2 linked regions of the Ovis aries genome follow. The protein of the gene in region 2 purifies or fractionates together with the protein of the main gene of each other region. This does not show direct contact. Links are inferred from orthologs where the notes say so. Each region holds a gene or a part of one and is shown on either strand. Other genes may lie near its edges.

The links.
Region 1: the proteins of PSMG3 (region 2) and PSMA5 purify together in Homo sapiens (co-immunoprecipitation; 4 studies listed by BioGRID and IntAct, with this or other methods). This does not show direct contact. The link is inferred for Ovis aries from reciprocal best matches to the Homo sapiens genes PSMG3 and PSMA5.

The regions. Positions count from the first base shown.
Region 1 is NC_056054.1:86,671,058-86,674,964, forward strand, and holds the start of PSMA5 (proteasome subunit alpha type-5), read right to left. Parts: upstream 2,751-3,907; 5' UTR 2,638-2,750; coding exon 2,609-2,637; intron 1-2,608. UniProt on the Homo sapiens protein: Component of the 20S core proteasome complex involved in the proteolytic degradation of most intracellular proteins. This complex plays numerous essential roles within the cell by associating with different regulatory particles.
Region 2 is NC_056077.1:41,764,500-41,768,386, forward strand, and holds PSMG3 (proteasome assembly chaperone 3), read left to right. Parts: upstream 1-1,630; 5' UTR 1,631-2,224; coding exon 2,225-2,440; intron 2,441-2,846; coding exon 2,847-2,999; 3' UTR 3,000-3,316; downstream 3,317-3,887. UniProt on the Homo sapiens protein: Chaperone protein which promotes assembly of the 20S proteasome. May cooperate with PSMG1-PSMG2 heterodimers to orchestrate the correct assembly of proteasomes.

The sequences.
Region 1 (3,907 bases), on a different chromosome or scaffold from region 2:
GGCTCCACCTGCTGCCATTCCTACTTCATTGTTTACTTTGAAACACCTCCCTGCTCCCAGTTTCCCAAGCGAGAAAGTTCTGAATGACCTGACTCAGTGCTTCCCTTCTCCCGTATTAGTGCACAAGTGCCCAGTCTCTTCAGTCGTGCTGGACTCTGCAACCCCACCGACTGGAGTCCAGCAGGCTCCTCTCTGTCTGTGGGATTTTCCAGGCAAGAATACTGGAGTGGGTTGCCATTTCCTCCTCCAGGGGATCTTCCCGACCAAAGGATGAACCTCCAGCTCCTGCATGGGCAGGCAGATTCTTTACCGCTGAGCCACCTGGGAAGCCCTTTCCCATATTAACCATATGCCAAGTCATATTAATTTAAATCAGTTCCTCCCCCACAGTAACTCAATTCTCCCTTCCATTCTCAATGCCCTCATTACCTTTCACCTAACTATAACAGCCATCTAACCGGTATTGACTCTTTCCTCTAATTCAGTCAATTAGTTCCTATAAATACAATTATGACTGTGTAACTTAAAATGACAATTAATGGCACAAAATAAGACCCAAACCCTTCAACTTCAAATTAAAAGCCACCCAATACCTAGCACCAGTGTTTTTCTCTGAACTCCCTATTCCCATATGCGCATTGTATGTGCCAGAAGCCTAGAATTTTCTCAAACATGAACTGTGTTTTCTCACGGCCCCTCCTCTGTTCATCTTATATTCTCTGCCTCAAAACTATTGACTCTTACTGTGCATATTTATTAAATTCTTACTCCTGAACTCAGTTTAAATATCAACTCCTTCTAAAGTTTTCCATAATCCCCTTATAATATCAAATGCAACCTCTGTCATTAAAACTCCCATAGTGTTGATTTCAGCTTCTCTAATGACATGAACACATTTCTGACTTATACTGTAGTTACTTTTGTAAACAGCGGGGTTTTTTTTTTTTGGCCATACCTCATAGCTTATAGGATCTGTTCCCTAACCAGGGATCCAACCTGCACCCTCAGCAGTGAAAGCCCAGAATTCTAACCACTGGACCACCAGAGAATTTTCCTGTTAAGTAGTTTTTAAAGGACAGTCTCCCATATGAGAACAAGGATCTTGATTTTTTTCACTGCTATATGATCAGCAACTAAAACAGTGCCTTGTACACAGCAAGCATTTAAGTATATTAGCCAAGCAGACTATATTTTAGGCATTCTTATGAAGATACAATGAAGGAGGAAATGGCAACCCACTCCAGTATCCTTGTCTGGAGAATCCCCTGGATAGAAGAGCCTGGTGGGCTACAGTCCATGCGGTCGCAGAGAGTCAGACACGAGTAAAGCGACTCAACACAAACGCAGGAAGATACAAAAATGAGTAACACGAAGCAGTTAATAAAGCTGTTAAGTAAATGATCACAAAAACCTTAATAAAGGTTTTCTGATAAGGACAATTTCCATCATACACACCCTTACTCAAAACTGTATCACACAAAGACGATTCTCTTCAATGTTTTAGAAAATACCGACCAACAAAGTCATTTTATAGGACAGTAGAAAAAAAGTCAGTTTTAAAGCCTCACATACATCTTATGAGTCAGTAAAAATTTTTTTTAGAAGTAGCAGTTCTAGGTGATAAGACTTTCAACAAGATCAACATATACTTGAGAAGAAATGCAGCTTCTCAAAGCCATCTAATAAAGAGAAAACATCTGCCTTTCCTGGCCTCAAAAATTTTTAAGCAACTTAATAGCTAGCTATGTGAATCATACCTGATCAAAACAGAAACTGAAAGTAAAAATGTCTACAGCATAAGTAGAACAACTTAATATTAACATTCCCAAGCTCTGAAAGTTTTTTAAAGATACAACAATCTCACAGCTTTGATTTCAAAAACAGGTTTGGTTTTCGACACACTTAGAGCAACTTCCCTTAAACTTTTTAAAAATTCAAAAAGGCTATTTGAATCAGCATGATGACAAAACTCTTGAGAATCACTCTAAATTTCAGTTCCCACAAAATCTGACTCCAGACACTGTGTCTTGGCAAAGCTGAGACTTCCTTCGCTCCTCTGCAGAAACTAAACATCCCAGGACGCCCTACTACAACTCAATCAAAGGAATAGCACCTTTATTCCCACAACTAAGAAACGGAAAACGAGGCTGTCCTCCTAGAAAGAAAAGGGAGCTGAAATCATCAAACCCATTAAGTGATCCCTAATTGCTTTTTCTTCCAGGTAGCGCGTTTACATCTTTTAAAAGGCAGTCACACTCAGCACAAAAAGAAGGGGAGAGAGGGTGACTCCTGGCCTTCCCCGGGTTAAAGGTCAGAGTTCCGGCCCCATCAGCCTTCTTTTCCGAAGCACAAAGCGGAGCTTCACGCTTCCGCACCGACTTGGGACCCAGCAGTGACTCAGCGGTAGGACAACTGAGGCCGATGGGCGCAAATCTAGCCTTGGAGAACACAGCGGACGCCTGGGGAAGGGAGGAAACCCCCTGGCTGGGCCAGAATTCGGGTTCGTGGGGGTGCCCCGATGACACGGCAGAACCCAGGCCCAGACCGGGCCCCGCGTCCGCCCACCCGTTACCTGACCCCCTCTCCCCTCCCCCCCAGCCATACAGACCTGTCGTACTCAGACCGGGTGAGAAACATGGTAAGGGCAGGAGAAAGCGGCAGTGGCTACTCCGGGATTCTTAGAGCCAACACGAGTCCACCTGCAACCAACTCACCCACACCGCCACACTGCCAGGGCCACTCTCCCAGCTGCGCGTGCGCTCGCCACCCTTCAGCCCGCCCTCCCGTACCTGTCTCTTATTGGTTGATCGGAGTTCCCGCCGAGGTGATTGGGCCAACGAGCTAACCCGCCGGGCCTCCGGTGGCCCAGGGTGGGCGGGACAAAGGTCGTTCTTCCGTTTTAAATCGCTAGTGGTTGCCAGGGGCGCTCGGAACTGAAGGCGTGTGGTCAACCTGTCCCAAGATTGTCGACTGGGTAATTTTATGGCGAGCCGGACTGTCTGAACCCTGGTTTGATGGGTCCCTATCAGAGAGCGTTTGTCCCAGGCTCTCCTCGCTGTCCACCCGCCCGGCTGTTAGCTGTATTCCCCGCTCTTCCGGCTCTGGCGCAGACTTCCCTCCAGGTGCTGTGACTGCCTGCAGGACTGAACTTGGGAAATGCTTGCGTCTGCACCGGTGCTGTGAGCGAGTCCATTCACTTCAGCTCACCCTTCCCATGGCTCGTTTGTTGAGAAAAGTTGGTGAGTTTTAGTTGGTAGGAAGGTCTTGAAGTTTCCCCATGGCCAGGGTAATTTTACAGGAAGTCTCCTACATAGGAAATTTCAAAGTTGAAAGTTGCAAACTTTCAAAGGTGGGAAGTGCCTTCCCCTGTCCAGTTACCTAAGATAGTTCACATTGTCACATGTGTGCGTCCTTTACAAGTGGTTTTGCTTTTGTGTTCTTTACAGTAGTATATAGAGTACAGTAGTATAGTATCTTTATTTGAAGGCCAAGATATCCCGAAGTGAGCTAAAGCAGTGGTGATGTAGCTGGTACTACTGTACTTTCCAAGGTACTGTACCATAGATTAAAAGTGTTTTCTTTATTTTTTTTGTGTTTGTTTTTTATATATTAGTGTGAAAAGTATTTAGAAACCTATTACAGTACAGTACTATATAGCCGATTGTGTTAGTTGGATGCTTAGGCTAACTTTGTTGGACTTACTAACACGCTCTTGGAAGGGAACTCATTCATGTGTAGGGGACTTCCATTCTTACCCCCCAGCCACTAGTACTACAGGCTTTCAACCTAGTGACCCAGAGCTCTGGATCTGGGATTCAAATTGTTCACTGCTTTTTCTATTATCCATGAATTAACTGGCAGCAATGTCTTGTTTGTTTTTCTAACTTACCTTCCCTAAGGGTAGGAG
Region 2 (3,887 bases):
AGTTTCGGAAGCCCAGATCCCGCCCCTCTCAGCTTTGTGACCTGGGGCAAGTCCTGCGAGCCTGAACATACGGTCTCTACAACGGGGATGGTAACGTGTCTACTCAGCGGGGTTGAGGTTGGACGCGTCACTGTCGGAAAGCACGTGGCACAGCTCCTGGCACACACTACGTGCCAGATTAACGCCAGCTGTCACCATCCCCTCGGCCGTGGACGGCTGGCCCGGAGGGGCTTTCAAGGGTAGAGGCTCCTGGAGCCACCTAGAGGGGTTCACCGGCCTTAGTCAGGGAGCTCCCTAGAGGCCCAGTGGTTAAGACTCCGCACCTCCAATGCAGCAGACGTGGGAACTGAGATATTCGAAAGTCAGAGATTGCAGCAAACCGCTTTTGGTTGCACCACGCGGCATGTGGGGCCTTAGTTCCCCGACCAGGAACGGAACCCTGCGCTGGGAGCATGGTGTCAGCCACTGGCCCACCAGGGAAGCCCTCTGAACTCTTTCCCAACTAGGCGCTCACTTCTGGACTTCTGTGACCCCCGATCCTGCATGTCTGGTAACCGCCAAAGTCTAACCAGTTCCTCATCCCCCACCGTCCCCCAGGTGGTCTGAAGCGTCCCTGGCCTGCCTCCAGCAGGAGTTCTCCTGGGTTTTCCTGCCTAGAAACCCCCCACCCCCCTTTCCCTTAGTAATTTCCCACCCACTGACTCTGTCCTGATCTTTGGCTGTAAATCCCCACTGGTTCCTGCTGCTCTAAGTGAAAAACGTCACGTGCTGTATCAGTAAGCAAAGAATGCTGCCACCTACAAGCCGTCACATCACAGTTGCCCGACGGTGCACCCTGAGGGGACTCGGGGTGAGAAAGCACGAGAAGGCACCCCAGGAAGCTGAGGTGCACATCAAAGGAACGTGGGAAAGCGCTGAATTCCTGGAGATGCCTGGTTTTCCTTTATTAAGCAATCTTCTGACTTTCGGACTACCCGGTCTTTGTTGCAAAAACCTTATACACCCTGGCTCCTCCCTTACCTCTTCGGGGCAGTCCCTCAGTTATCTGGGATGCTGCGTCCTGGGCTCAAGTCCTCAGTTTTGTCCAAGGAATAAAACATAACTCCCGACTTTTAGGTCGTGTGTTTTTTTTCAGTCAACAGGCATTTGGGATGAACCCAGAGGGCCCCACACTGAGGTCTCTTGCGCCCTCCATCAAGGGTCCTGACTGGGACGTTTTCGGTGCTTAAACTGGCGTCCGGCCCTGCTTCTCTCTCAGCTCCCCGTGTTTCCCTGAAGGTCCTGGAACCCATGGCCAAGGGCCAGAAACCCCGTTTCTGAGGCTCCTCAACCACAGAGCTGCAGGGTCTCCCTCAGGAGGGCGCGAGGACGCCCTTCTGGAGAAGTCAGGCGCCCCTCGCCTGAGGGCCAGGGGCCGAGAGGCCCACGGGTTGGTGCTGCAGCCTCTTTCCGCAAACATGGCGCCCAGCCCTTCCCGCGCGGCGGCGCGGAACCCCACAGCGCAGAGTCCCGAGGCCGCAGCAGGAGCCGGAAGTCCCCAGGCTGCACTTCCGGCGGGGGAGGGCTCGGCGCTCGCGGGGCGGGGCCTGCCGGGGCGGGCCCGCGGGGCCTGCGTGCGTCACTTCCGGGCGCGGCGCGGTGAGCGCGGGCGGCATGGCGGGTGGCGGGGTAGTGGGCGTCCCGCGCGGCTGGAGCCGGGCGGAGGGGCTGGGCGCCCCCGGGGGCGCCGCCCGGCCCCCGCCCTCTTCCCCGCGCTGTGGTGGTTTTGCTGCTGCTTCTGTGGGACCGACGGTTTCTCAAAACGCAGAAAACGATTAAAACGATTAGTGGGCGGACCGGAGGGGCGGCGGAGGCGCGGCCCTGCTCTGCCGGGTTTCCGAGTCTGCGGCGCCCACTCCCCTGCGAGGGCGGGCCCCGGGACTCAGGGAGGGCCCTCGGGGTGGGGTGGGGCCCCCGCGCGGGGAGGGATTGTCCTCGTCTGCCTCCTCAGGGAGAAGCGTACTTTGACATCCAGCCTGTGTGTGTCTGAGTGAATCCAGAAAGTTCCGGGCGAATAAAGCCTGTGTGGGCGAACAGACAGGCTTGTGAATGGGCCAACTTGTGTTTCTCTTTTGATACCAAATAGTGTTTATTCTGGAGCTCCCAGGCTATCTGCCATTGACTGATTTCCTTTTCTGTTTTTTTCCTTAACATAAATGAAAGGTGCCATTGAGCAGACTCAGCCATGGAAGGTAAACCATTGTTGACATCCAAGCAGAAGACTGCAGTGGTGTGTGGAGTCCCCACCCAGGTGGTCTGCACAGCCTTCAGCAGTCACATCCTGGTGGTGGTGACCCAGCTGGGGAAGATGGGTACCTTGGTCTCCCTGGAACCCAGCAGCGTGACTGGCGACATCGGCAAGCCTGTGCTGACCACTAAAGTCCTCCTCGGGAAGGATGAGGTAATGTGGTTGGGAAGGGCTCCCCGTGCCCGTACTTTGTCAGGATGGGGAGCGTCTGGAGGCAAGCACAGCCCCCGTCCCCCGCCACCTCAGCCCAGGGCAGCACTGTGCGGGGCCCCCAGATAATTTGAGGGTGTCCGCCTGCTGCGTGCAGCCCGTCGGCATTTTATCAGACAGATGCACAGAGGCACTGATTCTGTAACGTAAGCCTCATGGTAATGAGTTCCTGTTCTGCCCTGTTCTGGAAAGATCATCTGTGAGGTCTGACAGGGTTTCCCTCTGTGGACTCTCACGGCCCTTTCAGTAGAGATAACCAGGAGAGAGAGGAGCCGGGAAGCTGGCCTGGGCTCCTGAGAGGTACTGGGTGAAGGCAGTTAAAGTGGTCTTCTCCCCTTGCCCTCGTCAGCCCCTCGTCCATGTCTTCGCAAAGAACCTGGTGGCGTTTGTTTCTCAAGAAGCTGGAAACAGAGCCGTTCTCCTCGCCCTGGCCATGAAGGACAAGAGCATGGAGGCGGTGAAGGGCCTGAAGGAGGTGATCCAGACGTGCCAGGTGTGGTGACGCTGGAGTGGCCACCCCTGCCGTCCGGGAGGGCCCTGCGGCAGCTCAGACACCTCGAGGCTCTGAAGGCGCTCCTTTAGTTAGGAGGAGGCGCTCTCTGGCTGTGGCCCTTGGAGCTGGAAGAAACACAGACGCCTCAGGCTGACGTTGGTTTGGAGGCGGACGGCCCCTGTGGAGGGAGGACAGGAAGCGTGTCCTGAGGCGGTTGTGCATCCTCCCCAGGTCCAGAGAGCCCCTCGCGCGTGAGAACTGAGTCACGGCCCTCAGTTGTTGGGGGATTTCTTTTATTATTAAAAATAAATGCATATCCCCAAATACCTCACCGTTCTTCTTAACGATGCTGAGAAACGTCAAGCACTCGATACGCGTTCACTTCAGTGAACAGCCGAGGGAAGGAAAACCTATTTGGCAAAAGCTCGATCTGAGGTTCATGTGGTGAGATGGTTCCAGGAGCTGACTCTGCCCCTCCCTCCTCCTCCTCCTCTTCCCCTGGCTTTTCTGATCCTTCCGCTGCCCAGACGCGGCTCACAGCCTCCTGATGGGCTGGCACCCTAGCCTCCAGAGCCGTGTGCTTAAAGGTGGAGGGTAGAGGCGCATCCCCCCACAGGCGCTGGTGCTTATGGGGGTGGCCGGGGGGCAGAAGTGCAAACTGGGACTTTAGGGGCTGCTGAGGACTGGTGATGGTGATGGTGAGACCACGCTGCTGGTCTGAGAAGGACTCGGGTGGGGTTGCTGAGCATGGGACAGGACAGCCGTGTTCAAAGGCTCGTTCCCTCAGCAGATGCTGGGGCCCCTGGGGAGGCACGTCCACAGCCCCTTGGGACCATCGGGTAAACCCGCAGGCACACACCAGCTGTGGGGTAACCCGGTGACCTGTGTCAGGAGGGC